Linked DNA regions of Sus scrofa. The protein of the gene in region 2 purifies or fractionates together with the protein of the main gene of each other region. This does not show direct contact. Links are inferred from orthologs where the notes say so. Each region holds a gene or a part of one and is shown on either strand. Other genes may lie near its edges.

Region 1 (7,302 bases), on a different chromosome or scaffold from region 2:
AATTTTGAATGAATATAAGTTGGAAACAGTTCTTTTAATGACTTTTTTTTCTCGAAATACTGTAGGAATGGAAGTTGGATACACTTTGTGACTTGTATGAGACACTGACGATTACACAGGCTGTGATTTTTCTCAATACAAGGCGCAAGGTGGACTGGCTTACTGAGAAAATGCATGCCAGGGACTTTACAGTTTCTGCTCTGGTAAGATGTTCTAACCTAGTAATGATGGTTGAAGTCTTTATTTTTGTTAAAGCAGGATTTAGACTACAATATAGCTGTTAAGTGCTGTGTTGTCGTTCCCCCTGCTCAAAATAAAGTTGTTTCTTAACTATACCTGTCTGTTATACTCTGTAGCAGCCAGGGACGCTTGGTCTCATACATATTGATAAAAATTAAATGTTAATATGACTCGTGATCTTAAGGCTTATTAATTTGCAGCATGGTGACATGGACCAGAAGGAAAGAGATGTTATCATGAGGGAATTCCGATCAGGGTCAAGCCGTGTTCTGATCACTACTGACTTGTTGGTGAGTCTCTTACTGTTCTTTTTAATCTACCAAAAGTTTGTTTTGGGGGAAGGTTTTCTTTAATAACCTTTACCAAGTTTAGGCTATTTGGGAGAGTAAAGAAGAGACCACGCTCCACAGTGAGCTATACCATTTAGTATAGTTCATTACTATTTTGTGGCCTACATTACATAGGTGTCTAGTTTTTTAATTAGAATTTGAACATTATACATTGTATTTTAGGCTCGTGGGATTGATGTGCAACAAGTATCATTGGTTATAAACTATGACCTACCTACCAATCGTGAAAACTATATTCACAGGTGAGTAGGTGGCATCTTGATTTATTACTGTATTGGTAAAATTCATTTCGCTTTTCTACTGACTGATTTGTGTGAAAGGTAACCTCCAATCAGGGAATTAAGACAGTAACTTGGTAGGGTGTAATTGTATTTGGGAAGATTGGTCAGACACAGTGGGAAAACAGTTGTGAGTGTTGCCCAAATTGTGGACTTCATACACAGATGAGGTTGTTTTAGTTCTGTTGGTTTTAGCTTATTTTTGAGCTTTATTTTTAGTGATGCTCGTGTGTCCATGTGCTTTCTTGGTGATTTCTCTGTAGTTGGGATTTTCTTGGTGTTGTCTGGTAGCAATTTGAGCAGTCCCTGGTTTAGTTATAGTGGCTTTATCCCTAAATAAATTGAATTGTACTTTGTTATATGATGTAAAAAAAGACTTTTTAAAAAATACAGGAGTCGATAGCAGCAGTTGATGACCAGATGGCGCTCAGAAACGGCGTTGACGTAATTTAGGACGTGGAATCATAAGCGAAACAGCACACTGTTTGAATAAAGAGCGAGTCGGTATTTATATTTGTTTTTCTTTTGTCATGATTATTTGATATTTTAAGATGCTCCAGCCAAGGAATTTTGTATAGTAGCCTGTTAGGTGGTTTGTATTGTCTGGTATCTTATCAGGAAGGTTAGAAAGCTGTTTTGGAGGTAAACACGTTTGAATAATTAGAGTTTCAACGTGTGAAACTGAGCAAAAAAAAAAAAAAAGCAGTGATAAGTTTGGGTTACCATACCAAATACTTGTTTTCCCACTGGAAGAAGTAAGTTTTAGGCAGTAGTTAACCTTGCAGCATTTGTATTTACAGTTTACAGTTCCAGAAGTTGCGTCGAAATGGATTACATAACTGCTCTTTTTTGTTTTACCCTGGTGTTTTACATCTGTCCCAGGCTGACATCTGCTCTTGGCTGGCCCACTTTGGTATGGGCTTTAAATTCACTACCCCAAACACAATATACTGTCATCTGCTTTAAAAAAGTAATGCTCAAGACACCTGATAAAATCTCATTTTGCAGCCAGACAAGCCTTGAATCCTTTTGGCACTAACTGCAAAGGAAGATTTTTTTCTCTAGATATTGATTAGCAGCTAGTGCTCCAATTAGAAGCACGAACTATAACCATGATAAGTAAACAGCAGCTGATGGTTAAGTGGATCATCATGTTCAGTATTTCATGCAGCATATGAGAAACAAGTCTAATTGCTGATTTCTTTTTCTTACACAGAATTGGCAGAGGGGGTCGATTTGGGAGGAAAGGTGTGGCTATAAACTTTGTTACTGAAGAAGACAAGAGGATTCTTCGTGACATTGAGACTTTCTACAATACTACAGTGGAGGAAATGCCAATGAATGTGGCTGACCTTATTTAATTCCTGGGATGAGATAGTTTTGAATGCAGTGCTCGCTGTTGCTGAATAGGCGATCACAACGTGCATTGTGCTTCTTTCTTTGGGAATATTTGAATCTTGTCTCAATGCTCATAACGGATCAGAAATACAGATTTTGATAGCAAAGCGACATTTAGTCGTGAGCTCTTGTGAGGAAAGTCATTGGCTTCATCCTCTTTAGAGTTAGACTGTTGGGGTTGGGTATAAAAAAGATGGGGTCTGTAAAATCTTACTTTCTTAGAAATTTATTTCCTAGTTCTGTAGAAATGGTTGTATTAGATGTTCTCTATCATTTAATAATATACTTGTGGACTAAAAGATATAAGTGCTGTATAAAATCAGCCAATTATGTTAAACTAGCATACCTGCCTTTATTGTGTTTGTCAGTAGCCTGAATTAGAAAGGCCTTTAAAATTGATTTTTTTTTTCTAGAAAGCATTTGAATGCATTGTTTGGTATTGTATTTAATTATTCAATAAAGTATTTAATTAGTGCTAAGTGTGAACTGGACCCTGTTGCTAAGCCCCAGCAAGCAATCATATCCTAGGTAGGGTTAAACCCCCAGTAAAATTGCCATATTGCACATGTCTTAATGAAGTTTAAATGTTAAATAAATTGTATATTCACTTTAAGGGTGCTTTGGTCATTTTTATTACAAATCAGTTAAAAAGCATACATAACTGGGTGTGGTTTAACAATTCTGAGTTAACTGTTGCATCACTGTAGCACAGAGGCTTATTAGTTGTAGATGTTCATCAGCACCATCAGCTAAGCATTTATCTGCTTCCTAAAAGAAAGTGAAAGGTTAATAAAATAGCCCTTTTAAGTGAATATCCTTGTGCTGAAATGTAGAAAATGCCTACTTACAGCAAGTTTCTCTGTAATAACAGACTTCTGCTTATCAGAAAGGTTATCATTTTCTACCACCACATCATGAAGCTGATTTACAAATTGAGTTGCTGCATGGCCCTCATCTATTAAGTCCTGCAATAGAAGGAAAACCTTGGTGTGATTGTTTTTATTCCCCTTCCCGAGTTAGTCAAGTAAATTTACCTTTACCACAGCTTCTAGTTTGTCAAAAGAGCCACTCTGACATGCAGCAAGTACTCCATCAATTGTCTCAGTCGGTACTACCTAAAATAAAAGTTTGAAGACTTTAGATATGTGGGTCTTAAAACTTTCTCATACTTGAAACAGCACATAACCTGCACTCCTGCTACCTTGGTGGGGGGGGGGGGGCACAAGGGGAGAAAAAGCTGGTAAAGCTAGCTCTTAAGCCTTGTGCTATTATTCTGGGCTCCAGATAGATGATCTTGATAACTACTAAACCTGAATAAAGCTTCCCAGAAAACTGATTCGGGTGCGTTTTGCTTGCAAATTCCTTTTTTTTTTTCAAGTTTGAGCCCAAGATGGTCAGTGTGGGTGCATAGTTCTCTTCAAGATGCCACTGAGGAGATAAAATAGTGATCCTGGGGTGAACCCTGACAGGAGTATCCAAAGACAACTGACAGAAGAGGATTCTTTTAATTTTTTTAAAAACTGAATATGACCTTTGGTCACATTACATTTACAAAAAAAAAAAAAAAGTGTTTTAAGCCACATCACTGCCTGAAGCGTTGATACTCCCAGCTTACTCCTTTATTACTGTTACTACCACAATATTTAGCAGATGCTATATAGACTACATGTATTCTCTCAAAATTGATGTTAGGGGGAGTTCCTGTCATGGCTGAGCAGTTAAACCCAACTAGCATCTGCTGGCCTAGCTCAGTGGGTTAAGGATCCAGCAGTGCCCTGAGCTGTGGTGTAGGTTACAGATGCGGCTTGGATCCCACATAATCAGACCCCTAGGCTGGGAAACTCCATATGCTGTGGGTGCTGCCCTCTAAAGACAAAAGACCAAAAAAAAAAAAATTGATGTGAGAAATCCTTAATGTTGTAATGGTATTTGGAGGTTGATGAGGTCGTAAGGAGGAAACCCTCATGACTGGGATTGATGCCCTTATGAAAAAAGCTCCCTTTTGCCACAGGAGGATCAGGGAGGTGAAGGCCATCCATGAACTAGGAGTCTACTGAGCTAGGAAGTCGTCTTAACAGATACTGAATCATTGGGCACCTTGATCTTGGATTCCTTGTCTCCAGAACTGTATTTCAGCCTATGGCATTTGTCAGAGCAGCCTGAACAGACTAAGATAACACATAGTAAGTATTCCATATATATGTGTTGAATTATAATAACAAAAAAAGCCAACTAAAAGAATTACAGAATATCCAGTGCACTTACCCCAGCAATATCTGTGATCATCTTTTCTGTGACCTCCTTTCCACCTGTTAATCGAGTAGCACTTTGAAGAAATGTAATGGCTTTTCTTAAGTCTCCTTCTGACACTTTAACAAGATAAGCTATTCCCTGAAGAGAAAGAAGTTTTTTAACCTATTATGGCCAATCAAGGCTGACTTTAATAAAAGTAAAAAGCACTGGCTAAATGGGAAAAAAACCATCTATTTCTATTTTTGAGAGAATGTCAGTCCTACTGTGGCAGAATTCAGAGACAGCATCAGTCCGATAGAAGGAGACCTCTTGCGTTTTTTTAGGGCTGCACCAGCGGCATATGGAAGGTCCCAGGCTAAGGGTCCAATGGGAGCTGTAGCTGCTCACCTAAGCCACAGCCACGCCAGATCTGAGCCGTGTCTGTGACCTACACCACAGCTCACGGCAATACGGGATCCTTAACCCACTAAGTAAGGCCAGGGATCAAACCACATCCTCATGGTTTATTAATCACTGAGCCATGAAGGGAACTCCTGAGATCTCTCTCCTTTGAAAAAAATTTGCAGAGATAAACAGATAAGATGTTCCACTTTGGGGATCCTATTTTCTTGATTACTTATAGCAAAGAAAATTCAAATTATGGTTAAACTCCGTGATAATAAGGGGCCTATATATTCTATCACTATACCAGAATGTCATCATACCAAATCAGTTCTTGAAGTGGAGTATTAGTAGTAACAAGTGGAATATCTTGTCATTATGCAGAGATTTGTTGTTGCAGCATCTGCATTCTAGGTATGAAATCTGCCCACACTTTGGGTCTCTGAAATATTGACAAACTAATAGCAACAGAAAGGCTGAAGCTGTAATTTGTAGACATTCTAATTGCTCATTTAGCTTAACTTTGCCTGAAGAACTGGCATCATAAATGAGGTAACACTTGACTCTTTCAGACAGGGCCTCTTCACAGGCATTCATCAAAGGAATTAATGATTTACAATAATTGTAATAATATTAGTAATTACCTCATCACTAATTTTGACATGTTCTTTATCAGCGATGTCTAGTAATCGCTGCTGTTGAATTTTATCTGACAGAGGTTTGAAGCGGAATTTAGAACATCTAGAGGTCAGAGGTTCAATTATTCTGTAAAATATTGGAAAAAACAAGTCAGTGTCTAAAGAAGAAACTCCCTCAAAGAACTCATTTTTATCAAGAACAAATCAAGATTTGATGGAGGAGAAACTAATGTAGCCTTAAAACATTAAAAAAAAAATTTTTTTTCTCCCTATTTGGGGCTATCAAAATAAGGTTGCTTAGCATCTATACATACCGACTGACATAGTTACAGATGAGACAGAATCGAGTGGTTTTAGACTCCTTCTCCATGGTACGTCTTAAAGCTGCCTGAGCAGCTGAGGTCATAGAATCTGCTTCATCCAGAATCACAATCTTAAAAGGAGGGCATGGCTTCCCACTGATTCAGAGAAACACATAGGAGTTATAACACATCATTATCACAATCTGATTTTAGAATCGTCTCATCACCCATTTTAAATGATTTCTCTCCAAACTCTCAGCCACAGGCAATCAGGAATCTCCACTTTCTGTTTCCACAGATTTGTCTATTCTGGACACTGTATATACATGGAATCATGTGTTGACAGACAACATAACACATTGTCTTTTGTGATGGGCTTCTTTCCCTTAATATTTTCAAGTTCATATACTTTTTAGTATATATCATTACTTCATTTCTTTTTATTACCAAATAATATGGCAAATGGATATACTACTTTTCATTCATTATTTTTTTGGCTGTGCCCACAGCATGTGGAAATTCCCTGGACAGGGACTGGACCTGGGCCACAAGCTGCAACCTGCACCACAGGGCCACAAGGGAACTTCCATTTGTCCATTCTTTAGTTGTTGGATAGTGGGTTCCATGTTTTGACTTATGAGTAATGCTGCTATGAACATTTGTATACATGTGTATGTTTTCATTCCTTGTCAGTAAATATTCTAGGACTGAAATTGTTGGGTCATATGGTAATTCTATGTTTAACTTTTAGAGGAAATGACAAACTGTTTTCAATGTGGGTGTATCATTTTACATTCCAACCAGCAATGTATAAGGGTTCCAATTTCTCCACATACTTGCTAATACTTATTTTCTATCTTTTTTTATTATAGCTGTCCTATTAGGTGTAAAGTGGGATCTCACCATGGTTTTGATTTGCATTTCTCTAATGGCTCACGATGTCAATGAACCTGTTTTTGATGTGCTTATTGGCCATTTGTATATCTTCCTGGGAGTAATTACTGTTTATTCAGATCCTTTCCCCATTTCTAAACTAAGTTGTCTTCTTTTTTTTTTTGGCCATGCCTGTGGCATGTGGGAGTTTCTGGGCCAGGGACTAAACCTGCACCACAGTAGTGACCTGAGCTGCTGCAGTGACAATGCTGAACCCTTAACCTACTGTGTCACAAGGGAACTCCTTGAACTGTCTTTTTATTATTGAGTTGTAAGAGTTTTTTACTCCTGATCTAAGGCCCTTATCATCTGTATGATTTATATACACTGTCAATCCTAGATAGAGATGAAAAATTGAGTCATTCAGTTTCTACAAATTCCTAAGTGTGCTCTGATATAAATTTAAATATATACCAGGTACAAAAATTTAACCTTGGAACTTTGCCACCCAAGGAAAGGAATCTAAGTAGTTGACTAAAGACCCCTATTGAATGAACTCCAGGTATATCCAATTTTAATTATTAACACT
Region 2 (8,752 bases):
GTTCCTACTCAGATTCATTTCTGCTGCGCCACGACGGACACTCCAGGTCTCAAGCCATTACTAACGAAAAAAATATTTGGGGCTTTTTAGTAGATGCTCTTAATTCTAGAGATTGCAGTGCTTATCCAATTACTGTATTATCTGTTACCAATGTTACTTTACAAATGAATTAATAGACTTGCTTATTCATCAGTTGGTTTCAGAAACATATTAAGAAGCGCTAATAAAAAAGCATGGCTAAGGAAAACATGAGGAAATAGTTCCGATGAAAATACTTTCAAGAAAACATGCAGGGGGGAGTTCCCGTTGTGGTGCAGTGGTTAACGAATCTGACTAGGAACCATGGGGTTGCGGCTTCCATCCCTGGCCTTGCTCAAAGGGTTAACGATGGGGCATTGCCGTGAGCTGTGGAGTAGGTTGCAGACACGGCTCGGATCCCATGTTGCTGTGGCTGTGGCTCTGGCATAGGCCTCTGGCTACGGCTCTGATTAGACCCCTAGCCTGGGAACCTCCATATGCCGAGGGAGCAGCCCTAGAAAAGGCAAAGAGACAGAAAAACAAAAACAAAAAACATGCAAGGAATCTTTGTTAGCTAATGTTTTACATCACTGATAAATGACTTTTTAGGCCTTTCTAAAAAACTATCTAAAATCCATAGGCCTAGTTTGTTATATCCTCAATTTTGTTTGTGTATCCTCAATTTCCTGGCTTTGCATTATTGCAGTCTTTCAGTTAATACTGAGACATAGCAACCTATTATCTTTTTATTCTTAACTGTTGAAGGAAGGCCACATAGAGATGCGAGGTGCACACAGGCTGGTCTTTTCCCTGGAATAAATTCAAACTAGACACTATTATAGAATAATGCCCTGTTTGGAATAAAATCCAGATGCAGTTATTACGTAGATACACATTTAACAGAAAGAAGATTAACTGTTACTCCCCTACAGACAAAAAAAAAAAAAAAAACATATTTGGTAATCTTTTCTTGCACCCTTTACATTTCTCCATGGAAAACTGAGTATCACGTTTTGCCACAAAACACACAGTAATATCATCTTTTTTTTCATCTTTTTGACCATAAAATACAAAGTATAACGATAGAATCATAGCAATCTTTTGGTTTAAAATCTTATAAAGCCTTTATAGCACTCATTCTTAAAGTACAGAATTTATTTTTGTCTACTTACTTACTTTTCTCTTTTCTTCAAAAATATAAACTCTAGGAAGCTGGGACCATCAGTCTTGTATACTATGGTTTCCCAGCATGCACATAAAAAGTGCCAACACACAGTAGATGCTCAATAAATATTTGTTGAATGATACAGCAATAAAAAATCACCACAGTGGAGAAAATAAGCATAAATATTCCATTCATGCTTATTTCTTGGTTACCCTTTGGGTTCTTTAAACTATTTCTGTTCTGGTTATCTATTACTTTAAACAAGCTACCTCCAAACTTAGTACCTTAAAAAAACAATAATTTCATTATATTTTAAATAAACATAACATTTTATTTTATAAACATTTTATTATATGTTTTTAAATAATAAAATAATTTTATTATCATTTTTAGTACTTTGGGTCAGAGAATTTAGGCAAACCTTGACTAGGTGATTTTCCTGTTCTATGTAGTGGTGCCTGGGGTCACTTAGTGGAATTCCACCAGCAGCTGGTATGGTGGGTCCAAGATTGTTTTACTTACAAGCTTGGTTCCTGGTAGAGATGGCTGTAAGCCTGTACTTGGCTGGCCCCTTCTGTTTTATGTGGTGGCTCAGGGCTCCAGAGTCCAAGACAGGAGCTGCTAGTCCTCTTAAAGTTTACATTTGGGGCCACCATAGCATCATTTCCACCATATTCTTTGCTCAAACCAGTCACAGGCCAGCCCATATTTGGGAGGAGTGTCAAAACATGTATGGCTATTTTTATTTTTATTTTTTGTCTTTTTAGGGCCTCACCCACAGCATATGGAAGGTCCCAGGCTAGGGATCTAATTGGAGTTGCAGCTGCCAGCCTATACCACAGCTCACAGCAATGCTTAACCCACTGATCAGGGCCAGGTATCGAAACCACGTCCTCATGGATACTAGTCAGGTTCATTATTGCTGATCCACAATGGGAGCTCCTATACACCGTTTTTAATTCTGTACATTTTCTTTTTCCTTTTTTGGCTGCACTGATGATAGAGGGAAGTTCCTGGGCCAGGGATTGAACTGGTGCCAGAGGAGTGACTCAAGCTGCTGCAGTGACAACACGGGATCCTTAACCAGCTGCGCCAGGAGAGATCTCCTCATCTGCTACATTTCTGAGATAATGTCCAAGTAAATGTTCCTAAAGAAAACAATCCAACAAATTCAGTTCAGTATCTTTCTGGAAATTACAGTCTTCTGACTTAAGTCTCACCTAAATTCAAGGAAGGCTTCAAAATACTAAAAAACAAATGCAAAAGTTTAAAGTAGTATAATGTAAAAGATACGCAAACCTTTTAATATACATCTTATTCGCTTACTGACAACACAATGAACATTGTAAATTGGTTTAGGTTCTTAAGGTTCTTTATATGATGTGTCTGCTGTGTACATTTTTCTGGGAGATAGGTTCATAGTTTTTATTGATTTCTCAAAGATCTAATGACTAATGACTCCCTCCTTCCCAATCAAGTATTTCCCTAAGCAAAATTATGGAGTAGATAAATTCATTTTTGGAATTATCTGCCTTGATAATACTTAGCCTCATATAAAAATAATAGTGATAACAGCTGACTTAAATAAAAAAGATTACTATCAGCTGTGTGCCAGGAACAGTTTCATAATAACCCAATGAAGAACATAGTACTATTATCTTATTTTACAGTTGAGGAAACTGAGGCATATTAACTTGCTTACCGTCTAGCATATTGGCTTCAGAGGGTCCCATGCAATGCGGCCCTGTTCCCCAGTATCCCTTTACTCCTTTGTAAATAGCGGATAACAACAGCAGCCAGTATTATTGTGGGTATTAGATGAGTAAGACTGGGACAGTCCATAGCCACATTCTTAGCACATATTATGGTGTTTGTTTAATACATATGAGTGCTCCATGCTTAGCTTCTGTATTTCAGAAGGCTCTGGTATCTTTCATAGTAGAAATATGGGTGTGATAAAATGCAGGAGAGAACAAGAGGTGGGCGGGTGGGTGGATAAGGATTTGAAAGTCCAGGGCCAAAACTGGAGATATTGCTCTGCCCATTGCACTCCTAAGGTTTCACATATTCACTTAAAATTGAATGCAAATGCAACATTCTGTTCCACAATTCAATTGCTTATCTATTAATATAAAACTTGTTTACTCCAAAGTTTTCAGCATCATTGTTCTATGGAGATGTACCTTGTTGATGCCTTAGCTTCACACATACACCCCTTTGAGGGACTCAGCAGCGCAGGTTTGGGAATCTGAACGCCTAGAAGCCCAGCTAGGCCCCACAGCTTGTTTGAGCCTTACATTTTTCATATAAAGTGGAGTGGGTGGTAATACCTACTTTACTAGTCTCTTTCGCTTTGGAATTACACACATAAAACTGTCCTAAAGGTAGTTTTCAAAACTTATAAGTAGGCGAAAAACCAAATTTAGTTGCTCAAACACTAAAAAAAAAAAAAAAAAAAAAAGGTAAATACTGTTTGGTGGAATTCTTATTCCAGAATAGATATTAAAATTAATATGTGAACGTACATCTAAAATCAGCATCTTACTGCGGCTGGTAATAGAAACATTTTAAAGCTACTAAGGAGGGCATGCATCCTTCCAGATGGGTAACCCGGAGGATCTGCCCGCCTTCCGAGGTAATCAATCTCGTAACTTCGCGATCTGACCGCCGCGGCCAAAAGCCGAAGGCGCAAATCTGAGAGTGGATCTGGGTTCCGGAGCGCGCTGGCCCAGCCGGCCTCAGGGGCGGCACCTGGGCCCACGTAGCTACGCCTGCCTCCCGCCCCCGGCCTGGCCCGAGAGGACGCTGCGCGCCTCCTGACGTCATCACCGGGCGCCGCTGCCTCGACCTCCTTCCACTTCGCGGGAGAAGTTGTTGGCGCCAATGGATCCCGAGCTCCGGTAACGGATTCCCCAGCCGGCCAGCCTGCACGCCAGCGCCTTCGTCCGTGGGCTGTGATGGTGAGCCCCCGTGGGAGGCTGTACGGCTCGGGGGTTGGGGAGAGTTTGCAGGTTGGGTGTGGACCGGGCACTAGTGGCATGGAGGATTGGGGAGGATCGTGATGCGAGGCTCCGGAGGAGTGCGAAGGCAGGGAAGGGGCCACAAACTTGGCACGGGTCTCACGCCTTTCCTTGGACCGCGGCTTCAGCTCCCGGCCGCAGCCGGCGCGCAGGGCTCGTGGTGCTGCGCGTCAGTTTAACTTTTTTCCATTCTTGGGGGAAGGGAGGAAGGGAGTAATAAAGGTGATTTTGAGGGCTCAGCGGTTAAGTTGCTTTTCCTGTTTAGCGTTGCCTCGGACCTTGGTTTGAGTCCTGCCTAAAGCGTTAATTCCAAGTTTTGGGTTACGAAGGAGAAGAATGTTACAAACTTTCCTTTCTAATGAATAAGTTGTCTCGGGCCTTCGACTTTCGTCATTAACAGCTCGGTGAAACGCTCATCACAGAGCTCTTTTGAGATCAAGGGCATCAGGAGGATGTTTTATTTTGTTTGGAGGAGTTCGCAGAAATCAAAGGGATAACACGGTTTCCCCGGAGAAAAGAAAACAGCTAGTAGAAACAGCTGTACTGCATTTGACGGCTGTCATCACTTAGCATCTGATGTTAACAATACTCTTAAAAAAAACCCTCACTAACACACCATTTTAAACCAACTATTCTTTAATAAAAAATTAAAAACCCCCAAAACACCCCTCGGTGTTTAAATAGTGAAATAATTATGCAGCCTTCCAAACATGTTCATACTGGAATGGCAATAGATACAGGTGTGTGTTTGAAGTATTTTATTTTAAAGGTCAATTTATGATGGTCCATTAAGTCAGAATCTACCTAATAATCAGATATAATTTTTTCAGTAGTTTTTCAGCTTATTTCTTATAATGTCATTGTTATGGGCTGTATGTGTGTGTGTGTAATTTTATGCCAAATTGGGAAACCTTACAGCCCTTTTTTATTTCTTCTCAAAGAAGGATAAGATAATAATAGCTACTTTGTAACAGGTGTCTTCTTCAGGTCAATATGTGAGCCCTTTACTTTACATACCTTTTCTCATTTAAACCTCACAGCAATCCAGTGTTACAGATGGTAAAGGAAGCGTTTAGAGTTCAATTTGTGATAGAAGTAATAAATGATTGAACTAGGATTACAACCTTGGTTTTTCTGTTAGATTATACTACCTCCCTAAAATGATCATAATTACATTTTGGACTTCAGGCACTATGGTGTTGTGGAAAGTTTATGAGTTTTGGAGTCTTGAAGGTGAGAGTGAGGTGATGTTTTAGTCTTGCTCTACCATTTAATGCTTAAGTGGTTTTGAACAAGTGAATACCTTAACTTTTTAACCTTTTAAATCCTGTTGTTTCCTTACCTGTAAAAGGGAGGAAAATATAGCTGCCTTAAATGACTGTTTTGAGGATTAAACAAGATAATTAATGTAAAGCTTCTGTTCTTGTGCCTGGCATGAGGTAGGCAATATACAGCTCTGTGGCCAATGATGTAATTTTCTCAGGAAGGACTCTATGGAACATTACAGAGAGTTTAAGGGGCAGCAGAGATACCTCTGGAAAAAACAAGATGCCTCTGAGAACAACAGTTTAGAGTCAACTTTTGGTTATTTGAGTATATATATATAAATATATATATATATTTTTTTAGGGCCGCAGGTGTGGCATTTAGAAGTTCCTAGACTGGGGGTCAAATCAGAGCTACAGCTGCAGGCCTACGCCACCACGACAGCAACACTGGATGGGAGCTGTGTCTGTGACCTACACCGCAGCTTGGGGGCATGCCGGATCCCTAACCTACTGAGTGGGGCCGGGGATCGAACCCACATCCTCATGGATATTGGGTTCGTTTCTGCTGAGCCACAACAGGAACTCCCATTTGGGTATTTTCAATTGATTCTTTCCCTTCTTAGTACTCCTGTTCATGGTGCAGATGAAAAATAAAGCCCTTCTCGGAAAAGAAGTGGGAGTCAAATGGGTCTGCTTTACTGTTTCTAAAGGGAAAAGTTTCTGTAAGGTACTTAAGAGTTTTGGATTATATTGGTATTTAATTTAGTTCTTCTGTCTCTAGTACACAAATTAGCAGAAACCTAGACCCAAATTCTGTTTAGCATATGTTTATTGAACACCTTTATACAAGTTATCTTGTACAGTAGTTCTTAACTTTTGTTTGAGTCATAGCTCCGTTTGATAATCTGGTGAATAGTGTGCAAGTTTTCTGCCCACAGAGTACATGTGGACTCATACACACTGTTTAGGGGATTCACATATCTTCTGAAGCCCTTCCATAGATCAAAGTTAGCAACTCTTGCCCTGGGAGCTACATCTTTTTCTCACATCTTTTCCAATTAAAGTTATTGATAAAGGAATAAAATACTATATCCACAAAATGGAATGCTATGCAGCCATTAAAAAGAAAACTTTGGAGTTCCCATCGTGGCGTAGCGGAAATGATTCTGACCAGGAACCATGAGGTTGTGGGTTCGATCCCTGGCCTCACTCAGTGGGTTAAGGATCCGATGTTGCCGTGAGCTGTGGTATAGGTCGCAAATGCAGCTCGGATCTGGTGACAGCTCCGATTAGATCCCTAGCCTGGGAACCTCCATGTGCCTCAGATGCAGCCCTAAGAAGACAAAAGAGAAACCCCCCACCAAAAAAGAGAAAACTTTATGCCATGATATGAAACAATTGCCAAGATAAGTAAGTGAAAAAAGAAGATGCACAACAATATGTAGAAAAGATTCTCTGCATATTTGGGAGTTTCCTTGTGGCTTAGCAGGTTAAGGATCTGGCATTGTCACTGCTGTGTCTTGGGTTGCTGCTGTGGTACAGGTTTGATCCCTGGCTTCAGAAGTTTCACATGGTGCAGGTGCAGCCAAAAAAAAAAAAAAAAAAAAAAAAGAATATGCATATTTGTTTGAAGATACGAAAGATCCATAAAGAACTAACTGCTAACATTTGTTGCTTCCTAAGATGGGAAATGTGAATCTGAGCGGCAGGATAGGAGGGAGACATTTTACCTTTTTGAATTTTTGGGTCATGTGAATATATTGGCTATTAAAGTAATTGGAATGAACTTAGAATAAAAAAATGGCCATGTAAATGATTTGCATTGCTATGAAGATTTAATTATTTGCTCAAAATGTGAATAAAATTTGAGAAATGCCATTTTAAAGAAGCCAGCACATATAATTTATTGGCTAGCATGTTTATTTATTGAAAATATGCATAAGATTGAATTAAACACACACGAGACTTAAGGGATAGGTTTTTTTTGAAGAGCTGTTGAGAGTCTGAATACATCTAAATTGACTCATTGCCCCCTTCACATTGTCATTTACTGCGTGAATGCTCCCCTGAAGCAGTGTGGTCACCCTTTTATTTATTTATTTTTTTACTTTTTATTATTATTTTTTTGTCTTTTAGGGCCACACCAGTGGCACATGGAGGTTCCCAGGCGAGGGGTCCAATTGGAGCTGCAGCCGCCAGCCTATGCCACAGCCAGAGCAAGGTGGGATCTGAGCTGCGTCCGTGACCTACACCACAGCTCATAGCAATGCCAGATCCTTAACCCACTGCGTGAGGCCAGGGATTGAACTCGAGTCCTCATGGATGCTGGTTGGGTTTGACAACCACTGAGCCACGATGGGAACTCCGGTCACCTGTTTGTAATGTGGCTTTTGCCATAAGGCTTCTCCTACCTTTCTGATCTCATCTGTCTGTCTTTTGAGTGTGTTAAGCTGGTTCTCTCTTGGCTTTTATTTTTGCTATTTCCTTTCCTTGGAATAACCTGTCTTATTCAAATGTCAGTCATCGCTTCCTCAGAGCTTTTGGTGTCATATCCAAGAAACTCTTACCTAATCCAGAGACAAGAAGATTTGTGCTTCTTTTATAGATTTAGCTCTTCCATTTAGGACTTTGATCTATTTTGAGTTAATTTTGGTGTATGGTGTGAAGTTGGAGTTAAAAGTTTATTCTTTTCTATGTACCTCTCCAGTTTTTTGCAGACTATTTTCCCATTGAATTATCTTGGCTCTCTTGTCAAAAATCAGTTGACTTTAAGTGTGAGGGTTTTTTTTTCCTGGATATTGAATTCTGTTCCATTAATCTATGTGTCTATTGTAGTGCCAGTAACCGTTTTTAATTACAGTTGCTTTGTGGTGAGTTTTGAAGTTGGGAAGTATGAGTCTTCCAACTTTACTCTTTTTCAAAGTATTTTGCCTGTCCTGGGGCCCTTGAATTTCCATATGAAGTTTAGAATCAGCAAAGAAGCTGGCAGGATTTTGATAGGGATTGTGTTGAATCTTTAGATCAGTTTGAGGAATATTGCCATCCTAACAACATAAGGTCTTCTGATCGATGAACATGGGCTATCTTGCCATTTGTTTAGGTCTTTAATTTCTTTCCTTTTTTTTTTTTTTTTTTTTTTTTTGTCTTTTTGCCATTTCTTGGGCCGCTCCCGCGGCATATGGAGGTTCCCAGGCTAGGGGTCCAATTGGAGCTGTAGCTGCCGGCCTACACCAGAGCCACAGCAACGCAGGATCCGAGCCGCATCTGCAACCTACACCACA

Evidence for each region.
Region 1: the proteins of RFC1 (region 2) and RFC4 fractionate together in Homo sapiens (co-fractionation; 7 studies listed by BioGRID and IntAct, counting the BioPlex papers as one, with this or other methods). This does not show direct contact. The link is inferred for Sus scrofa from reciprocal best matches to the Homo sapiens genes RFC1 and RFC4.

The regions. Positions count from the first base shown.
Region 1 is NC_010455.5:124,586,418-124,593,719, forward strand, and holds the end of RFC4 (replication factor C subunit 4), read right to left. Parts: intron 5,997-7,302; coding exon 5,853-5,996; intron 5,666-5,852; coding exon 5,545-5,665; intron 4,658-5,544; coding exon 4,532-4,657; intron 3,382-4,531; coding exon 3,301-3,381; intron 3,232-3,300; coding exon 3,115-3,231; intron 3,035-3,114; coding exon 2,939-3,034; 3' UTR 2,875-2,938; downstream 1-2,874. Other genes in the region: EIF4A2 (eukaryotic initiation factor 4A-II), read left to right, coding at 66-203, 441-530, 753-832, 2,085-2,229. UniProt on the Homo sapiens protein: Subunit of the replication factor C (RFC) complex which acts during elongation of primed DNA templates by DNA polymerases delta and epsilon, and is necessary for ATP-dependent loading of proliferating cell nuclear antigen (PCNA) onto primed DNA.
Region 2 is NC_010450.4:30,631,133-30,639,884, reverse strand, and holds the start of RFC1 (replication factor C subunit 1), read left to right. Parts: upstream 1-3,952; 5' UTR 3,953-4,140; coding exon 4,141-4,143; intron 4,144-8,752. UniProt on the Homo sapiens protein: Subunit of the replication factor C (RFC) complex which acts during elongation of primed DNA templates by DNA polymerases delta and epsilon, and is necessary for ATP-dependent loading of proliferating cell nuclear antigen (PCNA) onto primed DNA.